4 linked regions of the Saccharomyces cerevisiae S288C genome follow. The gene in region 3 interacts genetically with the main gene of each other region. Each region holds a gene or a part of one and is shown on either strand. Other genes may lie near its edges.

Region 1 (7,771 bases), on a different chromosome or scaffold from region 3:
TTGCTGATCGCTGCGGTTGAATACTTCAAGTATGGTACAAGAATTAACTATGAATGGTTCCATTGTACCCCAATCAAAGAACCCCAGTCTGGCTCAGTAATCAAGCTTTGGGCACGTGGTGGGCCAAGTTGTGACAAAAGAGGCGAATATAAAACTATAGTAAAGAGAATCACTAGAGATTATGAACCAAATGATGAACATCTCTCGTTCTGTATCATCGAGAATGATAATGTTCCACCCGTCCACTACCCAATTCACGAAGATAAAGGTGAACCTGGCTACGTAGCTTATGTCGGGTACGACACAGACTCTGAGCTGGTTCAAGAACTATGTGCTGATTCCACAATTTATCACATGTGAATTCTTTCTTTTACATACATAAACATAGAAGAAATCCAACCCTGATATAGGGATTTATAAATGCGTGTGCATATCTATATTTATACATATAAAGAGAAAAAAATTGCTCATGATAAAAGAAGTATCGCCTGCCCACTTTCCTAAATCCTCGAATTTTCCCTATATTTTGCGAACATTTTGCCTAATTCCTCTTGAATATTAACTTTGAAAACTTCTAAAGGATATAGTTTATCAAGGTCGATACCAGAGGTTGTTTTCCTATCTTCTCTGATTTTATCAATTGTTGGTATAAAGTCCATATATCGGGCCAAAAAGTGTTGCTCTTTCACCTCAGTAGGCTCAAATCTTTCGTCTACTGTTTTTATCAATCCAATAGAATCGCACCCCTTCGGTATTAATATCTCACTGCGTTTGACCATTTCAATATGATCTTTCATATCTCTATCTTCACAAAAATGCTTTAGAAGCTCTTGGTATTTAAGCCTTTGTGCTTCCTCTCGTTTCTCTTCGGTATGGTCTTCGCATATATAGAATAGTGAGCTATCATTAAAATAGCAAAACGATCTTAACGTTTGCAAAATGAAGTCAATATGTACTGACTGCCATACTGTAGTGTGTCTTTGTAAGTTTAATATTTCGCCACTGTTTAAGCACCATACAGAAAATTCATTATCGTCATTCAGTTGCTTAATTTTATTGAATGCGTAGGATAGTTCATTCAGCCACAACTTTTGGTCGTTCAGTGTCCAATCTAATAATATGAGCCAGCGAACCTTCGAACTATGTTCTTGTAAAAACGGCTTTAGAAGATCTAGTGCATCGTCAGTGTTTCTTATTAGCGTGTAAACATCGACAGAATAATTTTCCTTTAAGTCGTTGGTCCATCCTATGGTGGCGTAATTAATCAAAGTGGTATCCAGTATTGAATTGCTTCCCTCTGGAAAACAGATATTTATAAATTGATGCAGTGTTTTACTTGATGGGGAATATATGATTGCTGTTATCGTAGCAGTCTCTGTGCTGTTGATTGTGGATTCATTCTGAGACAATAATTTGTCCCAGGCATTACAATTATCCATTAATACATACAATTCTTTTATCTTCTTTTCTTTTTGTACAAGTTGCGGATTACTTCTCTTTGTTTACCTTTTTGCTTTTATTTTTTTTTTTAATACGTGCATATATATATATATATTTAGTTTAGGTCAGAATACAAAGATAATTATGTATAAATGGGCGCATTTGGAAACTATTTTACATACAACTGAACAAGTTCGGAACAATCTATCAATAATCTGCACAATTATATAATCCGATATCGACTTCAGCCTTCATATCTGATGAATTATTTGCGATCGATTCACGTTTTTCTTCCAATTCTTGAATATAACCGTCTTCAACACCAGTGACATAATTTCCGGTAAATACACCATCTTCGAATTTGGTTATTTTATCAGTTTTACAACAATCAATCAAATCTTCCAATGATTGGTAAATGACTCTTTCACAACCGATTACTTCCGCCACTTCTTCATCGGTTCTGTTATAAGCAATCAAGTTCTTTGTGTCTGTTAAGTCAATACCATAAATATGGTTGTAACGAATGGCTGGGGCAGCTGAAGCGAAGTAAACCTTTGTTGCACCGGATTCCTTGGCCATGTTAACAATCTCTTTTGAAGTAGTACCTCTGACAATAGAATCATCCACTATCAGAACCTTCTTACCCTTAAATTCAGACTCCATAGGGTTAAGCTTCCTCCTTACTGAAGAAACCCTTTCCCTCTGGTTTGGCATGATAAATGTCCTGCCCACGTATCTGTTTTTAACAAAGCCCTCTCTATAAGGCTTCCCTAACACATTAGCACATTCTAGTGCACATGTTCTTGCAGTATCTGGGACGGGAATAACAACATCAATATCTTCTGGCTTCAGTTGCTTTAGAATATTTTCCGCTAATTTAGAACCCATAGCCAATCTTGTGTGATAAACTGATATTCCATCCAAGACACTGTCCGGTCTGGCGAAATATACGTATTCAAATAAATCAGGTCTATAAGAGTTAATAGGAACCACTTGTTTGAACTCAGGTTCACCTTTGCTACAGTTCTTAGGGATGATAACTGCCTCGCCAGGCTTTAAGTCACGATATTTAGTAAAGTTGTGAGCTTTGAAAACAACACTTTCTGAAGCTAACATATAGTCCTTAGTGCCGTCCGGATTTTCTCTTTCACCGAACAATAATGGCCTAATACCATTTGGATCTCTGAAACCAAATAATGCAAAACCGGCAAGTAAACCAACGCAAGCATAACCGCCACGGCATAAACGGTAAACACCTTCTAACGCGTGGAAAACATCTTCATTGTTAACTCTGTACTTGTTATGTTTTTCCAGTTCAGCAGCAAAAATATTCAATAGTAACTCCGAATCACTGTCCGTGTTAATATGTCTATGAACGTCTTCATCCATATATCTCTTCAATGATGCAGTATTCACCAAGTTACCGTTATGTGCCAAGTTAATACCGTAAGGACTATTGACGTAAAATGGTTGCGCTTCTGAATTAGCCGAAGACCCGGCTGTAGGATATCTCAAGTGGGCAATACCCATGGAACCAGCAAGACCGGAAACACGTTGTTGGGTAAATACGTCACGAGCCATACCATTACCTTTACATTGGTAGATTCTACCACGAGAACCACAGGTAGCTATACCAGCTGCATCTTGTCCACGATGTTGTAGAAAAATGCATCCATCACATAACTCCGGAGCTACTGGAGTGGTTTGGTTTGCTAATACAATACCTAAAATACCACACATTTTTTCTATTCTGCTGTTTGCTGTACCTCTTTCTTTGCTAAACTTATTAGAACGAAATCTACTACTTTCAAGACGATGTCTTCGCAACTATGACTTAAAAGTGAATAAAATTGTACGGTGGCTGTTGAAATTTTTCTAAAATGAAAAAAAAAAAAACGAAGGACTTTACCTTGACTTAATAATAAGAATCTGAAAAGTACAAACCTATTATTGAAATTGTAAGTAAGCAAACTTTAAATACACCGAAGCTCTGACATTTGCCGCATGAGCAGTCATTCGGATTCATGATCCCAGATTATATTTTATTATTCATGTTCGTTCTAACTCTGTCCTGTTATTTTCGGTCAGGAAGAGTCAATACATCGGGTCATTGAAAAACCGCGGAGAAAGATAATAACTTTTCTTTTTTCCTTAAATCTTGAAAAACTTATACATGTATAAATCAATATTTACTTACGAGCGTTCATAGTTCTTGCTGGTCTTTTAGTTCATTCTCTAAATGATCCAGATCTTCTTGTATGGTCCAAAGTTCGCGGTACAATGACCCTGGCATAGCCAACAGTTCAAGATGCTTACCTTCCTCTCTTACTCTTCCGTTGTCAAGGACTATGATCTTGTCTGCATCTGCAATTGTCCTCAGTCTATGTGCGATGTATACACTCGTTCTCGAACCCGAAGTAAAGTTATCTCTAATGGTTCGTAAGAGAGCTTGTTCTGTGTGTGTGTCCAAGGCGCTTGTGGCCTCGTCAAAAAACATGATCCTTGCATTCTTCAATAGTACCCTTGCAATTGCCAGCCTTTGCTTTTCACCACCGCTGATCATCAACCCTCGCTCCCCGACGATGGTGTCAAAACCTTGTGGTAATTTCTTGATTAAGGGTGCTAGCTGGGCTTTTTCAACTACAGTTATCACTTCCTCGTCGGTTGCGTCAATACGACCGAACTTTACATTTTCCCAGATAGTGTCATTGAAAAGTGGTGTGTCCTGTGGTACCACACCAATCACCTTCCTCAAGGCATCGATGTCATATTCTTTAATATCTCTACCGTTTATGAGGATCCTTCCGCTTTCAGGATCATAAAATCTAAAGACTAATTTTAAAATGGTGGACTTCCCACTGCCCGAAGACCCAACTATTGCGGTTTTCCAGCCTGCTGGGATGGTAAAGCTGGCATTCTTTAAAATTTTCCTATCGGGATGATATCCAAACGTGACGTTCTCAAAAGTAATATCGTAGGGAACATTTTCTGGAAGCATTAAGGGACGTTCGGCATTTTTAATCTTGACTTCATTTTTTCTTAACTTAAATAGCGTTTCCATATCAATCAGAGACTGCTTTAAATCTCTGTAAACACTACCAAGAAAATTTAGCGGTACTGATAGTTGAAAAACCAACTGATTAATTAGAACCAAGTCACCAACTGTCAAGTTGCCACCAATAACGCCGGTGCAACCCATATACATCATTGCAGTTAGGGCAGTAGTAAAAATTAGATTTTGGCCGGAGTTCAAAAATGCTAGAGATTGCGATACTTTAATTTGAGAGTCACGATAGTTCATCAAGGAGCCATTATACTTATCTGCAAGATATTTTTCATTGTTGAAGTATTTTACCGCCTCAAAATTAATTAAAGAATCTAAAGCCACACTGGCAGCTTTGTTATCGGCCTTGTTAGCATCCCTTCTAAAATGTGTCCTCCATGCGGTCGTCTTTATAGTGAAAATGGAGTATAAAAGCATTGTACTGAATGTTATTGCGGCAAATGACGCACCGAATTGATACGTCAAAATCCCACAAACGACAGATATTTCAAAACTTATAGGGATAATGTGGAATACCATGGCCGTTAACACTTGAGATATACCCTTTGTACCTCTATCCATGGCCCTCGTCAGACCACCCGTTTGTCTACTCAAGTGCCATCCCAAATCTAACTTCATAAGGTGCTGGAAAGTTTGTAGCGACACAGTTCTAATGGCATTCTGTGCCACTTTGGCAAATACGGCGTTCCTCAGTTCGCCGAATAAAACAGAGCCGAACCTTGCAACACCATAGCAAAGAATGGTTAATCCAATCGCTGCCGGAAGGGCGACTGTAGGATCATCCCATGCTATATTCATTGAATCAATAGTTTGCTTGAAAAAAAAAGGTACTTGAACATTTAAAATTTTGGCGGATATCAACAGTCCAAGGGCAATCAGTACCCTTATCCTCACTTTATTGTTGCCTTTGGGCCAAATATAGCGAAATAGATCTTTCAAGATTTTCAGTTCCGAGAGGGTTGGGGCCTTGCTGGTCTTTTTTACCTGAGTCTTCACTTTTGGAGCCGACGAGAATTGCTCGACGGATTTTTTGTGCGTAATATCCTTTTGTGCTTGATTCCATAAATTCACAGCTGAATTGAATAACAGAGGCCGCTGGGTTGATAACTTAGACACAGTAAATATAACGGGCGAATGGTTCCGGATTAGACCAGATCTAAATTTTGATCTTACAATTCGCCCAATTACAGGACATCTTGGAAGAAGCAGCATTTGCAGGTTGGAGTGGAATCTATCAACAACGATATACTTACGTTGCTCTGTCGCAATTTTCGAAATTGTACTCTTTGCTGTGCTGATTGCTTTGTTTGCGATTATTAATGTAGAAAGTCATCGGAAAGCCCTCGCGCTCTTTCCCAGTGAAATTTCACGTGATGTAATCTGATGAAGGGCACGTATAGGTCAGTGACCTTTGCTGTGCAAATTGGGTAAGGTAATTTCTTTTAAAGACTTTAAGAATGGTAAAGTGAGGTACAACAACATATTATAAGACTTACTTGGTATGTACCTTACCTTCCTTAGATATTTTTCATGCTGCGTAGAAAATTGCACCATCTCCAATCGTCACTTTTATACATTTTCAAAAGAATATAGATGAGTATAGCAATATAGGGTTTACACATATGTACAGAAAAGCAGAATAGTAAGTTTTGTTTCATCACTTAGATAGGTTTTTAATTTCTTCTTCACATTTGGTAATGACTGCATTACTGGCATTGATTTTACCGGATAAATAGTCCAATCTGGTCTTGAAAAGTTTCTGATCAGGAACTTTCCCCAAAGGTTTTAATTCTTCTTCCCATTTCTTGATTCTACCAGTTTCAAAACCCACAACCTTTAATAAGTAACGGGTTTTTAGCACTTTTGCGAGTTCAGGATCGTTGATCAAGTATGTGAATGCTGCCCTGTATAGCGGTTTGGCAGGCCTGATTTCCTGTAAAACACCCCTATCTCTAGATACAGTTATTAAACCATTATTCTCCAATTCCATGATTCCCGTTTCTGGTGCGGCTTTGAATAATGGCTTGTTAACGATTTCATGGAATGGAATGACTGGGTTCGCACTCAATAATTCGATTAATTCCCAGGCTTGTGCACTTTTATTGCTGTCAATCTTGTCACTTAAAAACATTTGAGTTATTTGCTCAGAAGCCTGTTCAATCATTTTGTCTACTGCTTCCGAGGGCTCTTCTCCTGACTTTACCCTTCTTACAAATGCCTGTAAGTCTAACATCCTACCACCCAATGGCTCTAAAGAAGCGTCAATTTCCTGTAATTCCTTTTCATTTAAAATAACCTCAGCTTTTTTGACACTCGTATCGGCCTCACTATCAGAATCATTATTTTCAGCAGTTTCCTTTTCTGATTCAGGTTCTTTTACGTTTTCACCCTTGGATTTTTTATTGTAATATAAGTAATCCTCCAATTGGGATAATACATAGTTCCTCGAATTCTCTTTTGAGGCATCTGATAGGATTAGGTTTTTGAAGACTTGATTGGGTAGTGATTCGCTCAATCTTTGGTTGGATGCAACGGTTTCCGTTAAGAAAATCACATGAGCAATATTCATTTGAACTAGCATAGCTGCCCAATCGGATAGTTCCTTATACACAAATCCATTTATTTCCGACTTGCCCTCAAACCTATCTATGACGATAACGGGTTTAGCTTCCGGATGTTGCTGTAGGTAATCTTCTTCCTTAACATTAACTGTCCCATCACCGGTGGAAACAAAAGCCTTGTAATTCTTGAGAGCAATACGTCTAATGGACATCAATGAGGTAGTTAACATGTTTCTAAACCGAGATTCCTTCGTCTCAGACAACCCAGTTTTTTGCCCTGTTAATCCTTGCACTGTTAAATCAAGGACACCTGTGACAGAGTCAATCCATGGGAATATTGGGAAATAACCCAATTGACTAGCGGCATTTTTTAAAAACATAGGATCTGTTCTGGACTTAATCAATTTATCACAATCCAAATACAAAACATTTGCTCTATTTTGCAAAGTGTGTTGCATGACCAAATCATGTTTCCCTGAACCTCTAGGCCCCCTTATAACCACAAAAGTATTATTATTTTCTTCAAGCCACATTTTCAGGTCATTCACTTTCTCTATTCTTTCCTCCCATAAATGCTTTCTTTGGTGATTATCATCAGGGCCGCCCCAGTAGTACTTGATAGAAGTCATGGTAGATGAGGTTAGCGTTTTCAGTTGTTTCCAAAACTTATTGTCCCACGATAAAGAATATTTGTGAGTGATCTTCT
Region 2 (8,765 bases), 230 kb from region 3:
CAAGAGAGTTAGAAGTATTGCAAAAGCTCAATCATCCAAGGATAGTACGATTGAAAGGATTTTATGAAGATACTGAGAGTTATTATATGGTGATGGAGTTCGTTTCTGGTGGTGACTTAATGGATTTTGTTGCTGCTCATGGTGCGGTTGGAGAAGATGCTGGGAGGGAGATATCCAGGCAGATACTCACAGCAATAAAATACATTCACTCTATGGGCATCAGCCATCGTGACCTAAAGCCCGATAATATTCTTATTGAACAAGACGATCCTGTATTGGTAAAGATAACCGACTTTGGTCTGGCAAAAGTACAAGGAAATGGGTCTTTTATGAAAACCTTCTGTGGCACTTTGGCATATGTGGCACCTGAAGTCATCAGAGGTAAAGATACATCCGTATCTCCTGATGAATACGAAGAAAGGAATGAGTACTCTTCGTTAGTGGATATGTGGTCAATGGGATGTCTTGTGTATGTTATCCTAACGGGCCACTTACCTTTTAGTGGTAGCACACAGGACCAATTATATAAACAGATTGGAAGAGGCTCATATCATGAAGGGCCCCTCAAAGATTTCCGGATATCTGAAGAAGCAAGAGATTTCATAGATTCATTGTTACAGGTGGATCCAAATAATAGGTCGACAGCTGCAAAAGCCTTGAATCATCCCTGGATCAAGATGAGTCCATTGGGCTCACAATCATATGGTGATTTTTCACAAATATCCTTATCACAATCGTTGTCGCAGCAGAAATTATTAGAAAATATGGACGATGCTCAATACGAATTTGTCAAAGCGCAAAGGAAATTACAAATGGAGCAACAACTTCAAGAACAGGATCAGGAAGACCAAGATGGAAAAATTCAAGGATTTAAAATACCCGCACACGCCCCTATTCGATATACACAGCCCAAAAGCATTGAAGCAGAAACTAGAGAACAAAAACTTTTACATTCCAATAATACTGAGAATGTCAAGAGCTCAAAGAAAAAGGGTAATGGTAGGTTTTTAACTTTAAAACCATTGCCTGACAGCATTATTCAAGAAAGCCTGGAGATTCAGCAAGGTGTGAATCCATTTTTCATTGGTAGATCCGAGGATTGCAATTGTAAAATTGAAGACAATAGGTTGTCTCGAGTTCATTGCTTCATTTTCAAAAAGAGGCATGCTGTAGGCAAAAGCATGTATGAATCTCCGGCACAAGGTTTAGATGATATTTGGTATTGCCACACCGGAACTAACGTGAGCTATTTAAATAATAACCGCATGATACAGGGTACGAAATTCCTTTTACAAGACGGAGATGAAATCAAGATCATTTGGGATAAAAACAATAAATTTGTCATTGGCTTTAAAGTGGAAATTAACGATACTACAGGTCTGTTTAACGAGGGATTAGGTATGTTACAAGAACAAAGAGTAGTACTTAAGCAAACAGCCGAAGAAAAAGATTTGGTGAAAAAGTTAACCCAGATGATGGCAGCTCAACGTGCAAATCAACCCTCGGCTTCTTCTTCATCAATGTCGGCTAAGAAGCCGCCAGTTAGCGATACAAATAATAACGGCAATAATTCGGTACTAAACGACTTGGTAGAGTCACCGATTAATGCGAATACGGGGAACATTTTGAAGAGAATACATTCGGTAAGTTTATCGCAATCACAAATTGATCCTAGTAAGAAGGTTAAAAGGGCAAAATTGGACCAAACCTCAAAAGGCCCCGAGAATTTGCAATTTTCGTAACCAAGGACAAATACCCATAGAAAATGCTGCCCCTTTTTAAGAGAGAAGATGGTAGATACCAATACTCAGAATTCATCTATTCATAACTTTTTGGGTTTTTATTACATATAGAGTGACGTTTTGATACGATTTACATTTTGAAATATATAGATTTTTGTATATTAATAAGTTTTGATTTTCAGTTTTAGTTATGCTTAATGAATTTTTGAATCAGAAAAAGAAGTTCTGAAAAAAACATAATCCTGCTTGATGTGGTACAACAAGCTCATAAATAATTTTAAAAAGTTTGTTAATCCGTTTTCAATATCTTGAGCTCCTCAATTGTATTTGCTGAGGTCTGATTATTTCTATAACCAAAAGCGGTTATTGAATCTATGGAGAGGCTGTAACCCGTCTTATGCCTTCCGGGTACTATATTTCATTTGCGGGTGTCGATGGATTAAGGGGCGGAGGCGGCCCTTTTTAGGATTTATATAAAAAGCCATACTTCCGTACTTCGTAACCTCTTATCAACTGGTTAAGGGAACAGAGTAAAGAAGTTTGGGTAATTCGCTGCTATTTATTCATTCCACCTTCTTCTTTTTTGAGCGAAGCCTTTATAATCAAATTTTAGTGGTCTTTTCTATTTTTATTTGAGAAGCCTACCACGTAAGGGAAGAATAACAAAAAGTATATCTCACCCTACTGTATTCATAAAAAGTTTTTTCTATTAGAATTCTATAAGAAAAGAAAAAAAAAAAGCCTAGTGACCTAGTATTTAATCCAAATAAAATTCAAACAAAAACCAAAACTAACATGTTCAGCTTGAAAGCATTATTGCCATTGGCCTTGTTGTTGGTCAGCGCCAACCAAGTTGCTGCAAAAGTCCACAAGGCTAAAATTTATAAACACGAGTTGTCCGATGAGATGAAAGAAGTCACTTTCGAGCAACATTTAGCTCATTTAGGCCAAAAGTACTTGACTCAATTTGAGAAAGCTAACCCCGAAGTTGTTTTTTCTAGGGAGCATCCTTTCTTCACTGAAGGTGGTCACGATGTTCCATTGACAAATTACTTGAACGCACAATATTACACTGACATTACTTTGGGTACTCCACCTCAAAACTTCAAGGTTATTTTGGATACTGGTTCTTCAAACCTTTGGGTTCCAAGTAACGAATGTGGTTCCTTGGCTTGTTTCCTACATTCTAAATACGATCATGAAGCTTCATCAAGCTACAAAGCTAATGGTACTGAATTTGCCATTCAATATGGTACTGGTTCTTTGGAAGGTTACATTTCTCAAGACACTTTGTCCATCGGGGATTTGACCATTCCAAAACAAGACTTCGCTGAGGCTACCAGCGAGCCGGGCTTAACATTTGCATTTGGCAAGTTCGATGGTATTTTGGGTTTGGGTTACGATACCATTTCTGTTGATAAGGTGGTCCCTCCATTTTACAACGCCATTCAACAAGATTTGTTGGACGAAAAGAGATTTGCCTTTTATTTGGGAGACACTTCAAAGGATACTGAAAATGGCGGTGAAGCCACCTTTGGTGGTATTGACGAGTCTAAGTTCAAGGGCGATATCACTTGGTTACCTGTTCGTCGTAAGGCTTACTGGGAAGTCAAGTTTGAAGGTATCGGTTTAGGCGACGAGTACGCCGAATTGGAGAGCCATGGTGCCGCCATCGATACTGGTACTTCTTTGATTACCTTGCCATCAGGATTAGCTGAAATGATTAATGCTGAAATTGGGGCCAAGAAGGGTTGGACCGGTCAATATACTCTAGACTGTAACACCAGAGACAATCTACCTGATCTAATTTTCAACTTCAATGGCTACAACTTCACTATTGGGCCATACGATTACACGCTTGAAGTTTCAGGCTCCTGTATCTCTGCAATTACACCAATGGATTTCCCAGAACCTGTTGGCCCACTGGCCATCGTTGGTGATGCCTTCTTGCGTAAATACTATTCTATTTACGATTTGGGCAACAATGCGGTTGGTTTGGCCAAAGCAATTTGAGCTAAACTTTTCTTACTTCTCCGCCCTATCCTTTTCTGCCATCTAGAGAGCTTTTATAAGTAGATAACAATAAAAAAAACTATAGTATATTTAAAAAAAAAAAACAAGACAAACCATCTTGTCCTCAGTTTTAGAATCCATTGTTCTATGCTGCTGCCCATAATGTCATTATATGCGGGTAGCCCGATGATGCGGCTCGAGAATTTCCTTGTTTATCCTTTTCCAATAGCGGAACAATTGATAATAAAGCAATGTAAGCAGAAGCGAAAAATAAAAAGAAATAGGCTGCAGAGATTCACAGGCTGCGCTCTAGAAACATTTGAAATCAAGGCAAACATAGAACACTTGATAAAATTCTTACCATAATACCACCATTGATGATTCAAAAAATGAGCCCAAGCTTAAGGAGGCCATCAACGAGGTCTAGTTCTGGTTCAAGTAATATCCCACAATCGCCCTCTGTACGATCAACTTCATCGTTTTCTAATCTGACAAGAAACTCCATACGGAGCACCTCTAATTCGGGTTCTCAGTCGATTTCTGCATCTTCCACTAGAAGTAACTCCCCACTAAGATCCGTATCAGCCAAATCCGATCCCTTCCTTCACCCAGGTAGGATAAGGATCAGGCGGAGCGACAGTATTAACAACAACTCGAGAAAAAACGATACATATACTGGGTCAATCACTGTGACCATCCGGCCGAAACCACGGAGCGTTGGAACTTCCCGTGACCATGTGGGGCTAAAATCGCCCAGGTACTCTCAACCAAGATCCAACTCACATCACGGTAGCAATACATTTGTTAGAGACCCCTGGTTTATTACTAATGACAAAACAATAGTGCATGAAGAAATTGGAGAGTTCAAGTTCGATCATGTTTTTGCTTCCCATTGCACTAATTTGGAAGTTTATGAAAGAACCAGTAAACCAATGATTGATAAGTTATTGATGGGGTTTAATGCCACCATATTTGCGTACGGTATGACCGGGTCAGGTAAAACGTTTACAATGAGCGGAAATGAACAAGAGCTAGGCCTAATTCCTTTATCTGTGTCGTATTTATTTACCAATATCATGGAACAATCAATGAATGGCGATAAAAAGTTCGACGTTATAATATCGTACCTCGAAATTTACAATGAAAGGATTTACGACCTGTTAGAAAGCGGATTAGAAGAATCCGGTAGTAGAATCAGTACTCCTTCAAGGTTATATATGAGCAAGAGCAACAGCAATGGATTGGGCGTAGAATTAAAAATCAGAGATGACTCTCAGTATGGGGTCAAAGTTATCGGTCTCACCGAAAGAAGATGTGAAAGTAGTGAAGAATTATTGAGGTGGATTGCAGTTGGTGACAAAAGTAGGAAAATTGGCGAAACTGACTACAATGCAAGAAGCTCACGATCTCATGCCATTGTACTGATTCGTTTAACAAGTACTAACGTAAAGAACGGCACCTCAAGATCGAGTACATTGTCGTTGTGTGACCTAGCAGGTTCGGAAAGGGCTACGGGGCAACAAGAGAGGAGAAAGGAAGGTTCATTCATCAACAAATCCTTACTTGCTTTGGGGACTGTGATATCCAAACTCAGTGCCGACAAGATGAACTCAGTAGGCTCAAACATTCCCTCGCCATCTGCAAGTGGCAGTAGCAGCAGTAGTGGAAATGCTACCAATAACGGCACTAGCCCAAGCAACCACATTCCATATCGTGATTCTAAATTGACTAGATTATTGCAGCCGGCACTAAGCGGTGACAGCATAGTGACAACGATATGTACAGTCGACACCAGAAATGATGCGGCAGCGGAAACTATGAATACGCTGAGGTTTGCATCAAGAGCGAAAAACGTCGCACTTCATGTATCCAAAAAATCCATCATCAGTAACGGGAATAACGATGGAGATAAAGATCGCACCATTGAGCTACTGAGACGCCAATTGGAAGAACAACGTAGGATGATCTCTGAATTGAAGAACCGTTCAAACATTGGCGAGCCCTTAACCAAATCTTCCAATGAAAGTACTTATAAAGACATTAAAGCCACCGGCAATGATGGTGATCCGAATTTGGCTCTAATGAGAGCGGAGAATCGAGTATTAAAATATAAACTAGAGAATTGTGAAAAACTACTAGATAAAGATGTGGTTGATTTGCAAGATTCTGAGATTATGGAAATTGTAGAAATGCTTCCCTTTGAGGTCGGCACCCTTTTGGAAACAAAGTTCCAAGGTTTGGAATCACAAATAAGGCAATATAGGAAATACACTCAAAAACTTGAAGACAAGATCATGGCGCTAGAAAAAAGTGGTCATACTGCAATGTCGCTAACTGGGTGTGACGGCACTGAAGTGATCGAATTACAGAAGATGCTCGAGAGGAAGGATAAAATGATTGAGGCCCTGCAGAGTGCCAAACGACTGCGGGATAGGGCTTTGAAACCACTCATTAATACACAGCAATCACCGCACCCTGTCGTGGATAACGATAAATGATTAGGTGAGGGTCCCAGATCTCGGGTGCTTTTTTCCTTGTGCGGATTGTTCTGTAGACTGCGCCTCCGCTTGCCCGGCGCTTGCCTTGAACGGGATCTATTCTCAGAAGACAGCGCATAAAAGGCAGTTTTTAGGCACTTCTCGTTAAGAAAATACACAAATAATGGATTTACGAAGTTCGTTTCAGTGTGGTACCAAAAAATTTGGCATCAGCTAATAAAGATCAAGAAGTTTTGGGGTTGTTTCGAGTCTGTCTCGGCCTTAATTGTGCAGGTACTAAAGGGATTAATATATAAAGATTGTTAAGGCCAAGTGACTGAAACTTGCAAACGTCTTTGAATCAGGCTTATCTCTTAAATACTTATATATATGTTCTTTTATAGACTTCATAATCTCTTGTTCCAAGAACAGTAAAGAGCAATTAAAAAAAGGAAAATAACAGTTAAAGATGATAGCGGATTCATCAGTTTTGAAAAAGCACACAGCAATCAAGAGAAGTACGAGAATAATATCGCTAACACTCGTTTTGCTTGGCGTATTTAGCTTCTTACTACTTACATGGAATGACTCCTTGGAATTCTACAACTCTGCTGACCCTAGCGAAAACAAAAAAAATAGTGAGGAAGAAAGTGAAAAGAAGTTCGTTTACAAGTTGCCAAACTTATTAAAGACAGCAGACAGTTTTCTAAGTAATGAAAATGAACTAAATTTCCAAAAAGTCAAAGAAGAAATTTCAAATATTCAAAGCGAGGTTGAAGTCGACATCCCAGAACCCTCATCCAAAGCTACATCAAAATTTTCTTCAAGATCGTTCCAAACTGATAATGTCGTGACGGCGACGACCACAACAACACTAAATCCACGGTCATCTTCTCTGGCCTTGCAGAAAAACTGCGATCACAAAAAATTCGACCCTAGAACAGATTTTCTAGATATAATAAGAACCTCTCCAGCGGTATTATTCATTAAATCATCACAAGCAGACTCCATTTTCTTAAAAAATCTATTACAAAGAGAATTTGAGATTTCACCCGAATTGGCCACTGTTGATTTGGAAAAACACTCTCATGGCTATGAATTAGAAAAGTATATCAAACAAAATAAACTAAATATCGATACTAGTGCTGCCTTGGAATCCATTCAGTCGCCTTATTTATTTTTGAATGGTATTTCCGTGATAAATCGTGGAATGGTGAGAGATATAATCGAACCTCATTCGAAGGGATTGCTACTACCTCTTCTAAAGTCTGAAGCGCGTGGCAACTTGCTGGTAGAAAAAAAAGACATCCCTTCTAATTCTTAATTTGTTATCACTCCTATCGACGAGCAGCCGCAGCTAAAAGAACGTTTTAATTATTCCCAAATTCACGTAAGCGATCCTCTTTATGTGCTATATATACATTCATAACATAGTCATTGCATTTTCTATCATACGATTCAACTTGAACAAGTGTTTAACCATTTACGTCGTAAATGTCTACAGTATTATCTTTGGTCGTTGTTGTGGATTCATGCTTTTTTCTTTTCGAGAGCTCTTCGTTTTCAGAACTCAGCTCTTCCTTTTCGGACGACTCCCTTCGACTATTCTCCGTACTTGCTGGTTCGTAGTTAAAAAAGCATTCCCCCCACATGCAAAATATTCCTTTCATATATCCATTCTCCTTTACATATAATACTTTACATTTGGCAAATGGACCTAGTACTTTCCTCGTAGCTCGAGAAAGCTGGTTCAAATCAGAGTTCCTTGGCAAAAACATAATCACATTAGGGCTTAGTTTAAGAAAACTTTTCAACATCTTGGTAATCCCCATAGGCTTTAGATGTTGCTCTAAGTCATACACATCGTTTCTTAAGTATTCTGGACCACCCCACGGGGGTGATCCAAATACACAGTCGTACTTTATTTTGGAAAGTTTCTGCTTAGAGACTAGCTTTTTCCAGGATCCCCGCTTCAGCCATATTCTGTCGTCCACACCGTAGCTTTGGGCGTTTTTCGCAGTACAATATATGTGTTCAATACTGTAGTCCACTCCATAGACGTAAGGAAATTGCATGGCAAATTGTATGGTGTTCCCGCCCCCACCACAGAAAACATCCAGTATTCTTTCGGCATTTGGCATGCATGCCTTAACAAAATTTGCCAGGAAGCAGGCAATTCTTTCGGGCGTCACACTGAACCACAGCTCATCAGTCATATATATCGACGCCGAATCTATCTTTGAAAACAATCTACGCCTATTTTTCCAGTATTTGAAAAGTTTACCATTTTTCAACGGTTTTGATGATTCTATCTTATAGGCATCATTGTTCAATAATTTGATCAGAGTTCTAAAGTTGGAATGATGTTTTCTTTTGCGTGCCGCATGTTTTATTTTCGAAGCATGAATAAATGTCCTTCCCATCACTTCAGTTAAATCAACAAAAATTTTTTCTTCTACTTCTGTCTGTTGCCCCCACAACACGGTATATAATATGGGCAATCAATACAACGAAAAACTTACTCGCTGTTTGC
Region 3 (8,934 bases):
TTTGAATATGTACTCGAAAAAATAGTTCCATTTCTTTGGTCATTCAAAGATTGAGTGAGAATTTTTTTTTCAAAACTTGATAGTGGCCTAAACGTAGTCATTATGATAAAGTGAGGATGTGTCTGTGTTGTGAGTTACAAATGCACTTCTTTGGACAGGTATAACAAGGATAACGTATACACCCTTTTATATATGACCGTCCCCCCATACAAATTTGTGCTCGTATGCCGAGTGTGATCTACTCATCGCTTCGTTAATGAATCGTTTAGCCAAGAATATAGTAAACGTGTAGCAGAGTCATACCCCTGATGGCTGCAGACGCAGGGAATACTCAGCCTCGAAACAGTTTTCAATTTATGTGCGTATGCATGGCTATAATCTTCTATTTCTGTCACCTTTCGTTTATTCTAAACGAATTTGCGACGTTCAACGAAAGCGCGTTGAAAAAATTAATCTCTGAAGTTAAACGGTCGGAAAACAGACAAAAAAGTTGTTGTTATTACTTGTAGAGGAAAGAGCTATTTCATAGCTCGTTTGGGAATGCAGGGGTGACGTCCTTCTTCGGGTGTGTTGTCCTAACTTTCCTTAAACACATTGGGCTATCATACCAGTGAAAAAGAAACATACAATGGTCAGATTCGCTTTATTTGGCTACGAGAATGTGGCGGCTAAGTTCCCTCAACAACTATTCCACCAATCTTGATGGCTTTTCTAAGGCTCTAAGTAGACGTTAAGGTGGCTAAGATTCTAAAATTTTGCCATTTTTCGAGGTTGTGCTTCGCCCTATCCCTTGGAAAACATTTCTAATCATCTTAAATTCTGTGATTGAGAACGTTTTAACGTTATCTTAAACGTTTCCATAGAAGAACGAACGTGAAGGTTTGTAGCTCGTTAAAAGGCGATCTTGAATGATGTGAAGAAGTGTAAAAGGCTTAGGAAAGTTGCTTGTTGACCCGGTGTCGTTCAATATACTCCTATTACCCAAATGGCAGTTTCATAGAGTGATATTATTTCGTTGCCTTGTGTAAGTTAGAAGTACTTCTTGTCGATTGTGAATTCGGATAGCCGCTAGAACGCCAATCATTGCGGAGGTTTGCCATCGCATGGATACCATAGCCATCTGCACATTCTAATATAGATTATATTACTTTAGACCATGTCATTTCATAATCGTTGGTTTAAGCGGTGTTGTTTCCACAGTTTGTATGAGAACTTTTGTCCAAAGTAAAGTATCAGTAACGTAATCTGAGCAAACCTACATTAAATCGTAACTCCGCGAGATTCTTTTGTTCAGGTGGATCAGCGGCGTGGTTTACTTCCGATTTGCTCATCGTGCGCATAGCAGCATTTATTCCTCTAATTCGCTCGATAATCAACCTTTCCGCACTACGACGGTGGCAATAGTTGGACCTTAAGATATGCCTATCTGAATACAATTCTTCAACTCACATCAGTGGGACACTAAATAAAGCATATGGTATGAAATACTATGAATTATTGAATTATTGGCAGACACAGCAGCGACAAGTCAGAGTGCTTACAAAAAAAAAAGAGTTGATCCGGCTAAAGAAAGTCTGATTTACGTATTTATCCAGGTTCAAACGGATTGCCAAAAATAGTCGATAACCTCGGAGTAAGCAAAGCAACAATATATTTGTTCTTCGAAAAGGTAAACTTCTTAACTTCTATAGAAGCATTGTACTAGTTCTCTCGAAGAAAAAAACTAAGAAAGCTATAGCTGTATCTTACCAAGCCATGAACTTGAGGAATTGGTAATCCTTATTAGGAAATACGCTAAACTAGGTAATAGCAGATGATTTACTAGCTTACTATCTCACACTAAGTCTGGCAACGCGCTTATTTTTTAATACTTTTATACGAACCAATGAAATTTGATCCTCCCCTTTTTCGTCTAGTTAAATGAAGAGATACAAGTAGGCCTTTCTATTGAGTACTTAGCAAGATATGTATTTCTAAGAAACATCAACAGTTTCAGCCCACAACCGATTCATAAAATGTCTGCCTGGAGGAAAGCTGGTATATCATATGCTGCATATTTGAATGTGGCCGCTCAGGCTATCCGTTCTTCATTGAAAACTGAATTACAAACCGCTAGTGTTCTTAACAGATCGCAAACAGATGCTTTTTATACCCAATATAAAAATGGCACTGCAGCTTCTGAACCCACTCCAATAACAAAATAGTTTAACGCTTCCTGGGAACTGCAGCTCTTTTTTTACTCGCTGATATACATTTTAAATATTCTAGCAACTGTGTATGAAAACTTACGTACTTTTATACGGGAAACTAATAATGACTACAATGATATTGAATACTGGCCGCTTCGAAGAGTGGTATAAAGTTTGTATCATTGCATTAAAAGAAAAAGAAATATATGTCCCATCATCGCCAATCGCAATGTTGAATGGTCGTTTACCACTTTTGCGGCTGGGCATATGCAGAAACATGCTGTCCCGTCCCCGACTGGCTAAACTGCCATCTATAAGGTTTCGGTCTTTGGTCACCCCTTCTTCATCGCAGCTCATTCCTCTCAGTCGGTTGTGTTTAAGGTCACCTGCAGTTGGAAAATCACTAATTTTACAAAGTTTTAGATGTAATTCATCCAAAACAGTTCCAGAAACTTCTCTGCCTTCAGCCTCTCCCATATCTAAAGGATCAGCAAGGTCGGCACATGCAAAGGAGCAATCTAAAACTGATGACTATAAAGATATAATAAGGTTATTTATGTTGGCGAAACGGGATTGGAAACTGCTTCTTACAGCCATACTTCTTTTAACCATATCATGTTCCATAGGCATGTCTATTCCTAAAGTCATAGGTATTGTCCTTGACACACTTAAGACGTCATCTGGATCAGATTTTTTTGATTTGAAGATACCGATTTTTTCTTTGCCTTTATATGAGTTTCTTTCCTTTTTTACTGTTGCTTTACTGATTGGTTGTGCTGCTAATTTTGGTAGATTTATATTATTGAGGATACTAAGTGAGCGTGTTGTTGCACGCCTAAGGGCAAATGTCATTAAAAAAACGCTTCATCAAGACGCAGAATTCTTCGACAACCATAAAGTTGGGGATTTAATTTCTCGTTTAGGATCTGATGCTTATGTTGTTTCAAGATCAATGACCCAGAAGGTCTCGGATGGGGTCAAAGCCCTAATTTGTGGGGTTGTTGGCGTGGGGATGATGTGTTCTTTGTCACCTCAACTATCAATATTGTTACTATTCTTCACTCCACCTGTTCTTTTTAGTGCCTCAGTGTTCGGGAAGCAAATTAGAAACACCTCTAAAGACCTTCAAGAAGCTACTGGTCAATTGACTAGAGTCGCTGAAGAACAACTCTCTGGTATCAAGACGGTTCAGTCGTTTGTTGCTGAAGGTAATGAATTGTCTAGGTATAACGTTGCAATTAGAGATATTTTTCAGGTGGGAAAAACTGCGGCATTTACAAACGCAAAGTTTTTTACTACAACTAGTCTCTTAGGTGACCTAAGTTTTTTAACCGTCCTTGCGTATGGCTCCTATCTTGTTTTACAATCACAGCTCTCCATTGGTGATCTGACTGCATTTATGCTGTACACAGAATATACGGGGAATGCGGTATTCGGCCTTTCTACCTTCTATTCGGAAATTATGCAGGGTGCTGGGGCCGCTTCCAGGTTGTTTGAATTAACAGATAGGAAACCTTCCATTTCACCGACTGTGGGACACAAGTATAAACCAGATCGTGGTGTTATCGAATTTAAAGATGTTTCATTTAGCTACCCTACAAGGCCTTCTGTTCAAATATTCAAGAATTTAAATTTTAAAATTGCGCCAGGATCGAGTGTTTGTATTGTGGGCCCTTCAGGTCGTGGTAAATCTACAATTGCACTCTTACTGCTAAGATATTATAATCCCACTACTGGGACTATTACGATAGATAACCAAGATATCTCTAAATTGAATTGTAAATCCCTAAGAAGGCATATTGGTATCGTTCAGCAAGAGCCGGTACTGATGTCAGGTACTATTAGGGATAATATCACTTATGGGTTGACATATACCCCAACAAAGGAAGAAATCAGGTCAGTAGCAAAGCAGTGCTTTTGCCATAACTTTATCACAAAATTTCCGAACACATACGATACGGTAATTGGTCCTCACGGCACCTTACTAAGTGGAGGACAAAAGCAGCGTATTGCGATTGCAAGGGCTCTAATCAAAAAGCCAACTATTTTGATTCTTGATGAAGCTACATCAGCTTTAGATGTTGAAAGTGAAGGAGCCATTAACTATACGTTTGGTCAACTAATGAAATCAAAATCGATGACTATTGTTAGCATCGCGCACAGGCTAAGTACGATCAGAAGATCAGAGAATGTTATTGTCCTTGGCCATGATGGATCAGTGGTAGAAATGGGCAAATTCAAAGAATTGTATGCGAATCCAACAAGTGCTTTATCGCAATTACTTAATGAGAAAGCGGCTCCTGGGCCATCTGACCAACAACTGCAAATAGAGAAGGTCATCGAAAAGGAAGATTTGAATGAGAGTAAGGAGCATGATGACCAGAAAAAGGACGATAATGACGATAATGATAATAATCATGATAACGACAGCAATAACCAGTCTCCAGAGACGAAAGACAATAATTCAGATGATATTGAAAAATCTGTCGAACATCTCCTGAAAGACGCGGCAAAGGAGGCTAATCCAATTAAGATCACACCACAACCGTGAGTCATCCGCATCGCATATACCCATTCTTATCTCGCACATTTAAATATATACTATATATAATACTGTTAAATGCCAAATAAAAAGGATTTTCATTACCCGAATCGATACTTTTGGTAGCATAAACAAATAACATTGAAACAATAACAAAGTGTAATGTGGCCGCACGAATCTTTGTCTGTAACAGCCTTAAAGATTTCAGTAGCACTGCCATGGATAATGATGGACCCAGATCTATGACCATTGGGGATGACTTCCAAGAGAACTTTTGTGAACGTTTAGAAAGAATTCACAATACATTACATTCAATAAACGATTGCAACTCATTGAATGAGAGTACCACAAGTATATCAGAGACATTGTTAGTTCAATTTTATGATGATTTGGAGAACGTTGCCTCGGTAATTCCCGACTTAGTCAACAAGAAAAGACTGGGAAAAGACGATATTTTGTTGTTTATGGACTGGTTATTATTGAAAAAATATATGCTATATCAATTTATTAGTGACGTTCATAATATTGAGGAAGGTTTTGCTCATTTGTTGGATTTACTAGAGGATGAATTCTCGAAGGACGATCAGGATAGCGACAAATACAATCGATTTAGCCCGATGTTTGACGTCATAGAAGAATCTACACAAATTAAGACTCAGTTGGAGCCATGGCTTACTAACTTGAAGGAATTATTGGATACGTCATTGGAATTTAACGAAATTTCAAAGGATCATATGGATACATTACATAAAATCATTAATAGCAATATATCGTATTGTCTGGAAATTCAGGAAGAAAGGTTCGCGTCCCCGATACGGCATACTCCATCATTTACCCTAGAACAACTAGTCAAGTTATTAGGAACGCATACGGAGACAACTGAGCCAAAGGTACCAAAATTTTCTCCGGCAGAAGATATTTTATCAAGAAAGTTCTTGAACCTAAAAAAAAATATCCCTCCAATTGAAAAAAGTTTGACTGATATCCTACCTCAAAGAATTGTGCAATTTGGGCACCGGAATATAACAAACATAACTACTTTGCAAACAATCTTGCAAAAAAAATACGAGCTGATAATGAAAGATTATAGATTTATGAATTCAGAGTTTAGGGAATTGAAAGTCGAACTAATCGACAAACGTTGGAATATACTCTTTATTAATTTAAATCATGAACTATTATACATTCTTGATGAGATAGAAAGGTTGCAGTCGAAATTACTGACAACAAAGTATACCAAAGATATCACTATAAGGCTCGAGAGGCAATTGGAGAGAAAATCAAAAACTGTTTCTAAGACATTCAATATTATTTACAGAGCATTGGAATTCTCACTTTTGGACGCTGGCGTCGCATCGAAGACAAATGAATTAGCTCAAAGATGGCTGAATATCAAGCCTACAGCGGATAAAATTCTAATCAAATCCTCCGCTTCAAACAAAATAGCTACTAGCAAGAAGAAGATTCCAAAACCGAAATCATTAGGCTTTGGGCGACCGAATAGTGTTATTGGAACTATAACCCAGGATTTCCAGGAGAGAGTCGCCATTAATGAAGGTGACAGTAATAAAACACCGGAAAATTCAACTACAGTGGCTTTGAAAGGTAAAAAGCTTGGTAAAGCGTTACTGCAGAAGATGAATATTAAACCTGCAACAAGCCCAAATTCATCAAATGCGATTAATCCATTTTTTGATCCGGAGTCGCCAAACAAAGGAAAACTGATACTAAGTAGTGTTCCTCCCTTACCTTATGACGAAACCGATGAAACCACCCTCCGTGTTTCTCGTGGGGAAAATGAAAAGTCACCAGACTCCTTCATTACATCTCGGCATGAAAATAAAGTACAGATTACAGAAACTCCTTTGATGGCAAAGAATAAGTCTGTGCTTGACATCGAAAAAGATAAATGGAATCATTACCGGTCCTTGCCCTCTAGGATCCCTATATACAAGGATAAAGTGGTGAAAGTCACCGTAGAAAACACACCGATAGCAAAGGTTTTCCAGACTCCGCCAACAAAAATCACGACACCTAATAGTCAAGTTTGGGTCCCTTCGACAAGAAGAAGAACCCGATTGAGGCCTCCCACCCCCTTATCACAGTTACTTTCACCAAGAGAAGGGCGTTTAGATAAAACCCCAACTTATTGATACTAACCTAAAACTGTATACTTATACATTTTTATATATCCTCCCTCTCACCCTCTCCATTCATAGAATTTGTAATACTAGTTTAAATAATGTAATATTATGTGTAATTTTAAATAGTCCATGAAGATTCCGCACGTTTTCATTTTACAGTTTTTGACACCTTTACCCGACGCTTTATAAAAAAAATAGTATAAGCATCACGACATAAGCAGCCTCAGGTCATTAAAACAATAAAAGACTGGGAATTATAAACGTACAACGGTAAGGTCATTCACGCAGTGTATATGAATGACTGAAAGTGCTATAGATGACCAAAGGTTTAATCTTACAAAGGAGTTACAACGACACTCATGCAGAGATCAAGGGAAAATAACACAAAAGGATGATGCTTTAGATTTTATAAGTTACAGTTCTTTTCAATCCTCTTTTAATACTGACCAAAAAAGCGCGAACAATGGAAGTACTGTGAGAAGAAGCATAAGGTCGATTTTTAGAAGAGCAGCCGAATTGCCTAGAGTCCATATGGGGCCTCTTACTTATTCACATGGGATAAATGAGCTTGTTAACAAGAAATTAAGAAAAGACTGTGATCTCAGCACGCTATGTCGCGTATTGCAAAGAGGAATCAGGATGATTAGGATGACAAGAAGAAGAAGGAAGTTCTATGAATTTAAATTAATCAATAACAACGGGCAAATAATATGGAAAGATGGTTCGAAGTATCTGGAATTAGACTCCGTTAAAGACATCAGAATCGGTGATACGGCGAGTACTTATCAAGAGGAAGTAGATCCGAAAAGATTGAGATCGGACAGTAAACTTTGGATTGCTATTATTTATAAGGTTTCCAACAAATTGAAAGCGTTACACGTAGTTGCTTTGAATGAATTGGACTTTAACACATTCTTAAGCTGCATTTGCGGTTTAGTGAAGTTAAGGAGGGAATTAATGGAAAGCATACTTTTGCCTGATAATTCGCAATTCGCTAGGATACATTGGCAAATTACTGTTTCTGAAAAAGAGGAAGATGAGAAAAAGGACACATTGAGCTTTGCAGATGTGAAGAAACTATGTGATAAATTTCATATTTATGTGTCAACTGGTCAATTGTTAGAGTTTTTCCAATTAGCAGACATCAATCATAACGGACTATTAAATTATTTTGAATTTGAAAAGTTCATTAAAATCTTAAAGAATAGGAAAGAGGTAAATATGATTTGGTCTAAATTTACAAAACCTCCACACTCCCACTTATCATTTGAAAATTTTTTTCAATTTTTAATTACAGAGCAGCATGAGCAAGTGGATCGTCAAACTGCATGGTCATATTTTATTAAGTACAGAGAACCGACTCAGCTGACGATGGGGCAAGATGGTTTTACCAAGTTCTTGAAGGAGCAACCATATTTGGTGGAGGTTAAAGAGGAGTTATATTCAAAGCCATTAAACCATTATTTTATTGCATCTTCACATAATACTTATTTATTGGGGAAACAAATTGCAGAAACTCCATCTGTGGAGGGATATATTCAAGTCCTACAACAAGGTTGTAGGTGCGTAGAAATTGATATATGGGATGGTGAAAATGGGCCAGTGGTATGCCATGGATTTTTAACGTCAGCTATTCCCTTAAAAACAGTTATACGCGTGATAAAGAAGTACGCTTTTATAACGTCTCCGTATCCTTTGATTATTTCACTGGAAATAAACTGTAACAAGGATAATCAAAAATTGGCAAGCCTGATAATGAGAGAGGTTTTAGCAGAACAGCTGTACTTTGTTGGCACAAGAACTGATAAACTGCCATCACCAAGGGAATTAAAACATAAAATACTGTTGAAATCCAAGAAGACGAGTGAAGCAACTAGAGGTCTTAGCGTTAATGAGCCATTTCCATCTTCTTTTAGTTCTTCTTACGAATCAGCTAATGAACAGGAATTAAGAATGAAAGATGACTCCACGAACAGTAGTAGCGCAACAAATTCTTCTAGTATGCAACGCATCAAAAGAATTGGATTAAAAAAGCACGCTGATATAATTAATGATGTTT
Region 4 (8,089 bases), on a different chromosome or scaffold from region 3:
TTTTCTTTTCGCTCAAGTTAACACCAACAAGGATAACTTGGGAGTCAATACCGTGTTCAGCTTGCGATAGCAAATCACTTGCAACAAAATCCACATCGGCATCTTCATCGGCAATAACCAAAACTTCACTTGGGCCAGCTGGCATATCAATGGAACATAGAGCTTGAGTGTCATTTTGAACATACATTTTGGCGGCAGTCACAAATTGATTACCTGGACCCAAGATCTTATCCACTTTAGGAATAGTTTCTGTCCCGTAAGCCATAGCAGCAACGGCTTGGGCACCACCAGCTAGAACAATCTTGGAAGCGCCAACTTTTTCTGCGACATAAACAACTTCGGGTGAAACTTTACCATCAGATTTTCTTGGTGGAGATGCAAACACAATCTCCTTACATTGGGCAACTTGTGCTGGAACACCAAGCATTAATGCAGTACTTGGTAAAATGGCAGTGCCACCAGGGATATACAAACCAACTTTTTCAATAGGACGAGGGAATCTGGAACACAAGACACCAGGTTGGGTTTCAACTTCAAGAGTCTCTGTTGGCAATTGAGCAGCATGGAATTTGCGGACGTTTTCAATTGAAAGGTCCAAAGCTTCCTTCATTTCCTCGGTTAAACCTTCAAAGTATTCTTCTGGGAATGGAGCATTAAGAACAGGATTGGATAATTTTACACCATCAAACTTTTCTGTGTACTCCAAAAGGGCAGAGTTACCTTTGTCTCTAACATTTTCGATGATCGGATTGACTAAATGCATAATTTCAGAAGTCTTTTGGATTGGTCTGCTCAAAGCCTTCTGCACACCAACTTTGTCGGAAGCCTTCACCACGTCCAAGTGAATTGGACCGGTCAGTTTTTCTTCTTCAGCCTTTGGTTGTCCAACAAACTTTGGCTTAGCATCACCTTTCCGTCTTGTAACCTTCAGATGCTTCATATTCAGATTATTCTCGACGTCCTTCAATGAAACATCGTTGGCCACTAATTTGGCCAGTGCAAAGTAGAACAAATCGGCAGCCTCCCAAGAAAGCTCCTTCTTACCCTTTGCCTCAGTCAGTTCTTCAGCTTCTTCCTTGATCTTGGCATCTAACAATGCAGAGTCGTTGAATAGTCTTCTAGTATAAGATTCCTCTGGAGCGTCCTGTAGCCTTTGTTTTAGTAAAGATTCTAGCCCCACCAAACCATGCTTGAATTCACCAAAGCAAGACATGGTCTCCAAGTGGCAAAATCCAACGTTTTCTTGTTCAACGATAAACTTTAAGGCATCCGAATCACAGTCAGTAGAGATTTGTAAAAGCTTTTGGCCATTGCCAGAAGTTTCACCCTTGATCCAGATTTCATTCCTAGAACGAGAATAATAAACGCCACGACCCAAATCGATGGCCTTTGCTATAGATTTCTTCGAAGAATACACCAACCCTAGACAACGCTCATATTGGTCGACAACTAGGGTGGTATATAAACCGTCAGGACGGTCTGTACGTACTTCACCAAGCACTTCTTTGGTCAACATATCCTTGCTTAATTTCTTTATGGACACAATTTTATCTTGCGAGAATTTTTGTTTTACCATGAATTGATTGGAGAAAACACCGTTCTCTTCCACAACAACACGCTCCTTTGGTACATTCAATTGTTCAACCAAGTGTTCGGCTGTTTTAGCATCTTGGCTAGCAATGAACAGAGAAGAAACTCCGTTGTTCAAGAAGGCAATGATTTCATCATCGCTGAATTTACCACTTGGCAAGGACAAAGCCACCAATGGAACTTCTTCCTCTTTGGAGAACTGGAGAATCTCTTCATTACTCAGGCTCGAGCCATCCAAAAGTACCTGACCAACAAGTGAAACGTATTCCTTCTTACTATTCCATGAGGCCAGATCATCAATTAACGGTAGAATCGGCAAAACCATTATTCAGAAAAAAAATTTTGTAAACTATTGTATTACTATTACACAGCGCAGTTGTGCTATGATATTTTTATGTATGTACAACACACATCGGAGGTGAATATAACGTTCCATATCTATTATATACACAGTATACTACTGTTCATAGTCATATCCTTTTCTTACCTTCTATATCGAATGACTGATAAAAAAACGTGAGTCACTGTGCATGGGTTTAGCAATTAATTAACTAATTTACCGGAGTCACTATTAGAGTCAGTTCGACTGCCTAGAAGAACTGCTGGTTGTCAGGATTGTGATGGGGGCATTCTGCTGTATTATGACCCATCGTATCGCAATGCTCACACCACTGTTGTCTTCCTGCCGTGGTATCGACTGGTGCAGGGGGGTCGAAAATTGGCAACGATTCCACGGCTGTTTGTGCTTGAGCCTGTTCCAACTGTTTGATTTTTTCATTAGCCTCTTCAAGTTTTTTCGTTAAGGATGCCACCTCTTCCGATGAGGAATCTTGTGGTTTTGTCAAAAATAGTTCCTTGCTCAAATTTTGGTATTCTTTACTGAGCGAATCGTTATGCATTTTCAATTGTTCGCGTTCTTTAGCCCACTTTGTCTTGTGTAACTCAAATTGGTCTTCTATGTTGCGTAATTGTTCCAGCTGTTTTTTCAGGAGTTCGACATCTTCGTTGGCACCAGTGGGTTGATTATGAGAAAGATTTCTCTCTTCGTTTTCTTTGATCTCTTCGTGTAGTTGGCTTACGACAGCAAGTAGCTGTTCATTCTCAGCGTCAAAAAACTGCTTTTGTTTGGCTTGCTGTCTGCGTTCGAGCTCCAATTGTTGCTTGAGATGGTCTATCTCTTTCTCTCTTTCTTGTATTGTGGCTTCATACCTATCAAAAGTCGGTTGCACTTCTTCGAGGACCATTCTTTGGTCATCGAGTAGCCTTTTGTAGTGTAGTTGTTTCCTTTGTAGCTTTTCGATGGTCAATTGGGCTTCTCGTAATTCAATTGTAACTTCGCTGCTATTGAGGTCATTCATGTGGCCATTGTCCGGTTTCCAATCGCTGGTGGTGTTGTGATTAGCCTTTCTGTCTGATGACAGGATAGAGTCGACCTCCATTCTGTCTTCTCTGTTATCGTAACCAAATTCTTGCTGTTGATGGTGATCCGATGCCTCCTGGTCCATCGACTGTTGATTACCGCTGTGCCGACTGGTGATCCGGAAACTTCTCATGGGTGTGGGGGATTTAGGATCATCCATGGGAGAGAACTGGTTAGTGAGCCTCACAATAGATCTGTTTTTGGGTATTGATAGCGGTTCCATTGTCGTTCTTCTCGAGGTTTGCGATATCGATGCCTTCTCGATCAATGATGCGACTTTTTGCAACTGAATAAATAGTCCACTTTGAGGATACTCCGTTTGAAAATACTTCTTCCCCATGAATGATCCATCGTTCTTACCAATGTTGGCAAGTAAGTCTACACCAGCAAACATTCCAGCTTTCGTGTCCACTGGACCCACGTATTTCAGTTGTCCGCGCCCCAAATTTGGGATTTGTATGAAACATCCTATCTTTCTTTGATATCTATCCATGGTATTTCAAACGCATACACAGCCAGCCACAGCTCAACGCCTTTTACCTTGTCCTTTGATGCCTGTCTCGTCCAAACGTTTTTGGTGTCTTGGCCAATTGCCCTTCTGAAAAATCTCACTGTCCGCAACTCATTAAAAGATACCCAAGCAAGCTACACGATAAAGAAAGGAGAAAGTTCATTAAAAGAACGTACATATAGCGATACAAACGTATAGCAAAGATCTGAAATGGATACGGATAAGTTAATCTCAGAGGCTGAGTCTCATTTTTCTCAAGGAAACCATGCAGAAGCTGTTGCGAAGTTGACATCCGCAGCTCAGTCGAACCCCAATGACGAGCAAATGTCAACTATTGAATCATTAATTCAAAAAATCGCAGGATACGTCATGGACAACCGTAGTGGTGGTAGTGACGCCTCGCAAGATCGTGCTGCTGGTGGTGGTTCATCTTTTATGAACACTTTAATGGCAGACTCTAAGGGTTCTTCCCAAACGCAACTAGGAAAACTAGCTTTGTTAGCCACAGTGATGACACACTCATCAAATAAAGGTTCTTCTAACAGAGGGTTTGACGTAGGGACTGTCATGTCAATGCTAAGTGGTTCTGGCGGCGGGAGCCAAAGTATGGGTGCTTCCGGCCTGGCTGCCTTGGCTTCTCAATTCTTTAAGTCAGGTAACAATTCCCAAGGTCAGGGACAAGGTCAAGGTCAAGGTCAAGGTCAAGGACAAGGTCAAGGTCAAGGTTCTTTTACTGCTTTGGCGTCTTTGGCTTCATCTTTCATGAATTCCAACAACAATAATCAGCAAGGTCAAAATCAAAGCTCCGGTGGTTCCTCCTTTGGAGCACTGGCTTCTATGGCAAGCTCTTTTATGCATTCCAATAATAATCAGAACTCCAACAATAGTCAACAGGGCTATAACCAATCCTATCAAAACGGTAACCAAAATAGTCAAGGTTACAATAATCAACAGTACCAAGGTGGCAACGGTGGTTACCAACAACAACAGGGACAATCTGGTGGTGCTTTTTCCTCATTGGCCTCCATGGCTCAATCTTACTTAGGTGGTGGACAAACTCAATCCAACCAACAGCAATACAATCAACAAGGCCAAAACAACCAGCAGCAATACCAGCAACAAGGCCAAAACTATCAGCATCAACAACAGGGTCAGCAGCAGCAACAAGGCCACTCCAGTTCATTCTCAGCTTTGGCTTCCATGGCAAGTTCCTACCTGGGCAATAACTCCAATTCAAATTCGAGTTATGGGGGCCAGCAACAGGCTAATGAGTATGGTAGACCGCAACAGAATGGTCAACAGCAATCCAATGAGTACGGAAGACCGCAATACGGCGGAAACCAGAACTCCAATGGACAGCACGAATCCTTCAATTTTTCTGGCAACTTTTCTCAACAGAACAATAACGGCAACCAGAACCGCTACTGAACGATGATTCAGTTCGCCTTCTATCCTTTGTTTACGTATTTGTTTATATATATAACTTTATTTTTTTTTATTAATTGGGCTGCAAGACAATTTTGTTGTCAGTGATGCCTCAATCCTTCTTTTGCTTCCATATTTACCATGTGGACCCTTTCAAAACAGAGTTGTATCTCTGCAGGATGCCCTTTTTGACGTATTGAATGGCATAATTGCACTGTCACTTTTCGCGCTGTCTCATTTTGGTGCGATGATGAAACAAACATGAAACGTCTGTAATTTGAAACAAATAACGTAATTCTCGGGATTGGTTTTATTTAAATGACAATGTAAGAGTGGCTTTGTAAGGTATGTGTTGCTCTTAAAATATTTGGATACGACATCCTTTATCTTTTTTCCTTTAAGAGCAGGATATAAGCCATCAAGTTTCTGAAAATCAAAATGGTAGCAACAATAATGCAGACGACAACAACTGTGCTGACGACAGTCGCCGCAATGTCTACTACCTTAGCATCAAATTACATATCTTCGCAAGCTAGTTCCTCGACGAGTGTAACAACAGTAACGACAATAGCGACATCAATACGCTCTACACCGTCTAATCTACTCTTTTCTAATGTGGCGGCTCAGCCAAAATCATCTTCAGCAAGCACAATTGGGCTTTCAATCGGACTTCCCATCGGAATATTCTGTTTCGGATTACTTATCCTTTTGTGTTATTTCTACCTTAAAAGGAATTCGGTGTCCATTTCAAATCCACCCATGTCAGCTACGATTCCAAGGGAAGAGGAATATTGTCGCCGCACTAATTGGTTCTCACGGTTATTTTGGCAGAGTAAGTGTGAGGATCAGAATTCATATTCTAATCGTGATATTGAGAAGTATAACGACACCCAGTGGACCTCGGGTGATAACATGTCTTCAAAAATACAGTACAAAATTTCCAAACCCATAATACCGCAGCATATACTGACACCTAAGAAAACGGTGAAGAACCCATATGCTTGGTCTGGTAAAAACATTTCGTTAGACCCCAAAGTGAACGAAATGGAGGAAGAGAAAGTTGTGGATGCATTCCTGTATACTAAACCACCGAATATTGTCCATATTGAATCCAGCATGCCCTCGTATAATGATTTACCTTCTCAAAAAACGGTGTCCTCAAAGAAAACTGCGTTAAAAACGAGTGAGAAATGGAGTTACGAATCTCCACTATCTCGATGGTTCTTGAGGGGTTCTACATACTTTAAGGATTATGGCTTATCAAAGACCTCTTTAAAGACCCCAACTGGGGCTCCACAACTGAAGCAAATGAAAATGCTCTCCCGGATAAGTAAGGGTTACTTCAATGAGTCAGATATAATGCCTGACGAACGATCGCCCATCTTGGAGTATAATAACACGCCTCTGGATGCAAATGACAGTGTGAATAACTTGGGTAATACCACGCCAGATTCACAAATCACATCTTATCGCAACAATAACATCGATCTAATCACGGCAAGACCCCATTCAGTGATATACGGTACTACTGCACAACAAACTTTGGAAACCAACTTCAATGATCATCATGACTGCAATAAAAGCACTGAGAAACACGAGTTGATAATACCCACCCCATCAAAACCACTAAAGAAAAGGAAAAAAAGAAGACAAAGTAAAATGTATCAGCATTTACAACATTTGTCACGTTCTAAACCATTGCCGCTTACTCCAAACTCCAAATATAATGGGGAGGCTAGCGTCCAATTAGGGAAGACATATACAGTTATTCAGGATTACGAGCCTAGATTGACAGACGAAATAAGAATCTCGCTGGGTGAAAAAGTTAAAATTCTGGCCACTCATACCGATGGATGGTGTCTGGTAGAAAAGTGTAATACACAAAAGGGTTCTATTCACGTCAGTGTTGACGATAAAAGATACCTCAATGAAGATAGAGGCATTGTGCCTGGTGACTGTCTCCAAGAATACGACTGATGAAAATAATATTGACGTTCGCATTTAATCTATACCTATAATTCTGTACTTATATACTGTTCCTTAATTGAAGATTTCAACATCGTTTTTGATGTAGGTCTTTTCACCTGGAGGTGCGGCTGGGGTACCGAAGACTAATTGAGCTTGTACGGTCCAAGACTCAGGGATTTTGCTTGGCAAAGCAGCTTTTATGTAACCATTGTAGTGTTGTAGGTGACCACCCAGGCCCATTGCCTCCAAGGCAACCCACGAGTTGATTTGAGCGGCACCAGAGGTATGGTCCGCGAAACTAGGGAATGCAGCTGCGTACGCTGGGAAGTCAGCCTTTAGCTTTTCAGTTACCTTGTCGTCGGTGAAGAAGATTACAGAACCAAAGGCCTCATCCCTTGCTGAAGCAGGCCTCTTTTGACCGGCAGGGCTTTCTATAGCCTTAGTCACTTCGTCCCAAACTTTTTTGTGAGTTTCACCAGTCAAGATAACAGCGCGATTTGGCTGGGAGTTGAAAGCGGTGGGTGTTTCTTTAATGATGGTTTGGACGACGGATTGGATGTCGTTGATAGTAATTTCACCAGGTAACTCCGGTTTCAAAGCGTAAATAGTACGACGAGCAGTTAAAGTTTTCAAATAAGTTGCAACAGCAGACATGATATTGGATTGTTTTTTTGTATATATGTTGATATAGGATACTTCAGTCTACGAAAAAAGTACAAATTATGTAGTCAGTTCCTTCAGTATGGTGTCCTTATATACTGTAGTTTGGACAAGGTGCAAATGCCAAGACCCTAGCCCGAAAAGCTCGAGGCACCCCAGGATCTTTTTCTTTACGTAATTTTCACGTAAAACGCCACAGTCCGATTTTTCTCGAATAATCATTAGTAAAAGCGGTATACTGGATTATTGTACGATAACAAGGTAGAGCTTTATTACTAAGCTAAGACGTTCTTACATCAATAGTGCTGTTCGTTATTGATGTTAGGAGAAGGAGCGGGTCTGGTGAATAGTGTAAGCAGTGTTTCTGAACTTTTTCTTCGTCTAAGTCCTTGTAATGTAAGGTAAGAATGCAAGCATCTTGTTTGTAACGCGATTGTACGTTGACGTTAGTAAGTCACAAACCCAAGCTTAACTTCTTCGTGAGGAAGGAAAGTGTTGTCTCCTACTTTTTTCAA

Evidence for each region.
Region 1: mutations in KAR9 (region 3) and DYN3 impair growth when combined (synthetic growth defect), as found in Saccharomyces cerevisiae (4 studies listed by BioGRID, with this or other methods).
Region 2: mutations in KAR9 (region 3) and KIP2 are lethal when combined (synthetic lethality), as found in Saccharomyces cerevisiae (5 studies listed by BioGRID, with this or other methods).
Region 4: mutations in KAR9 (region 3) and BIK1 are lethal when combined (synthetic lethality), as found in Saccharomyces cerevisiae (7 studies listed by BioGRID, with this or other methods).

What each region holds. Positions count from the first base shown.
Region 1 is NC_001145.3:863,912-871,682, forward strand, and holds DYN3 (dynein light intermediate chain), read right to left. Parts: upstream 1,440-7,771; coding exon 501-1,439; downstream 1-500. Other genes in the region: sphingosine N-acyltransferase subunit LIP1, read left to right, coding at 1-360; ADE4 (amidophosphoribosyltransferase), read right to left, coding at 1,648-3,180; ATP-binding cassette Fe/S cluster precursor transporter ATM1, read right to left, coding at 3,644-5,716; YME2 (Yme2p), read right to left, coding at 6,162-7,771. UniProt on the Saccharomyces cerevisiae protein: Component of the cytoplasmic dynein which acts as a motor for the intracellular retrograde motility of vesicles and organelles along microtubules. May play an important role in the proper orientation of the mitotic spindle into the budding daughter cell yeast.
Region 2 is NC_001148.4:254,704-263,468, reverse strand, and holds KIP2 (Kip2p), read left to right. Parts: upstream 1-4,132; coding exon 4,133-6,253; downstream 6,254-8,765. Other genes in the region: serine/threonine/tyrosine protein kinase RAD53, read left to right, coding at 1-1,742; PEP4 (proteinase A), read left to right, coding at 2,538-3,755; pheromone-regulated protein PRM4, read left to right, coding at 6,702-7,556; TGS1 (RNA methyltransferase), read right to left, coding at 7,708-8,655. UniProt on the Saccharomyces cerevisiae protein: Required for assembly of the mitotic spindle.
Region 3 is NC_001148.4:28,064-36,997, forward strand, and holds KAR9 (Kar9p), read left to right. Parts: upstream 1-4,949; coding exon 4,950-6,884; downstream 6,885-8,934. Other genes in the region: PBI1 (Pbi1p), read right to left, coding at 1-101; ATP15 (F1F0 ATP synthase subunit epsilon), read left to right, coding at 2,016-2,204; ATP-binding cassette permease MDL2, read left to right, coding at 2,419-4,740; PLC1 (phosphatidylinositol phospholipase C), read left to right, coding at 7,173-8,934. UniProt on the Saccharomyces cerevisiae protein: Involved in karyogamy. Component of a cortical adaptor complex that orients cytoplasmic microtubules. It may be involved in anchoring cytoplasmic microtubules to the cell cortex.
Region 4 is NC_001135.5:66,419-74,507, forward strand, and holds BIK1 (Bik1p), read right to left. Parts: upstream 3,504-8,089; coding exon 2,181-3,503; downstream 1-2,180. Other genes in the region: HIS4 (trifunctional histidinol dehydrogenase/phosphoribosyl-AMP cyclohydrolase/phosphoribosyl-ATP diphosphatase), read right to left, coding at 1-1,915; prion domain-containing protein RNQ1, read left to right, coding at 3,732-4,949; FUS1 (Fus1p), read left to right, coding at 5,385-6,923; HBN1 (putative nitroreductase), read right to left, coding at 6,987-7,568. UniProt on the Saccharomyces cerevisiae protein: Required for nuclear fusion, chromosome disjunction, and nuclear segregation during mitosis. Probably required for the formation or stabilization of microtubules during mitosis and for spindle pole body fusion during conjugation.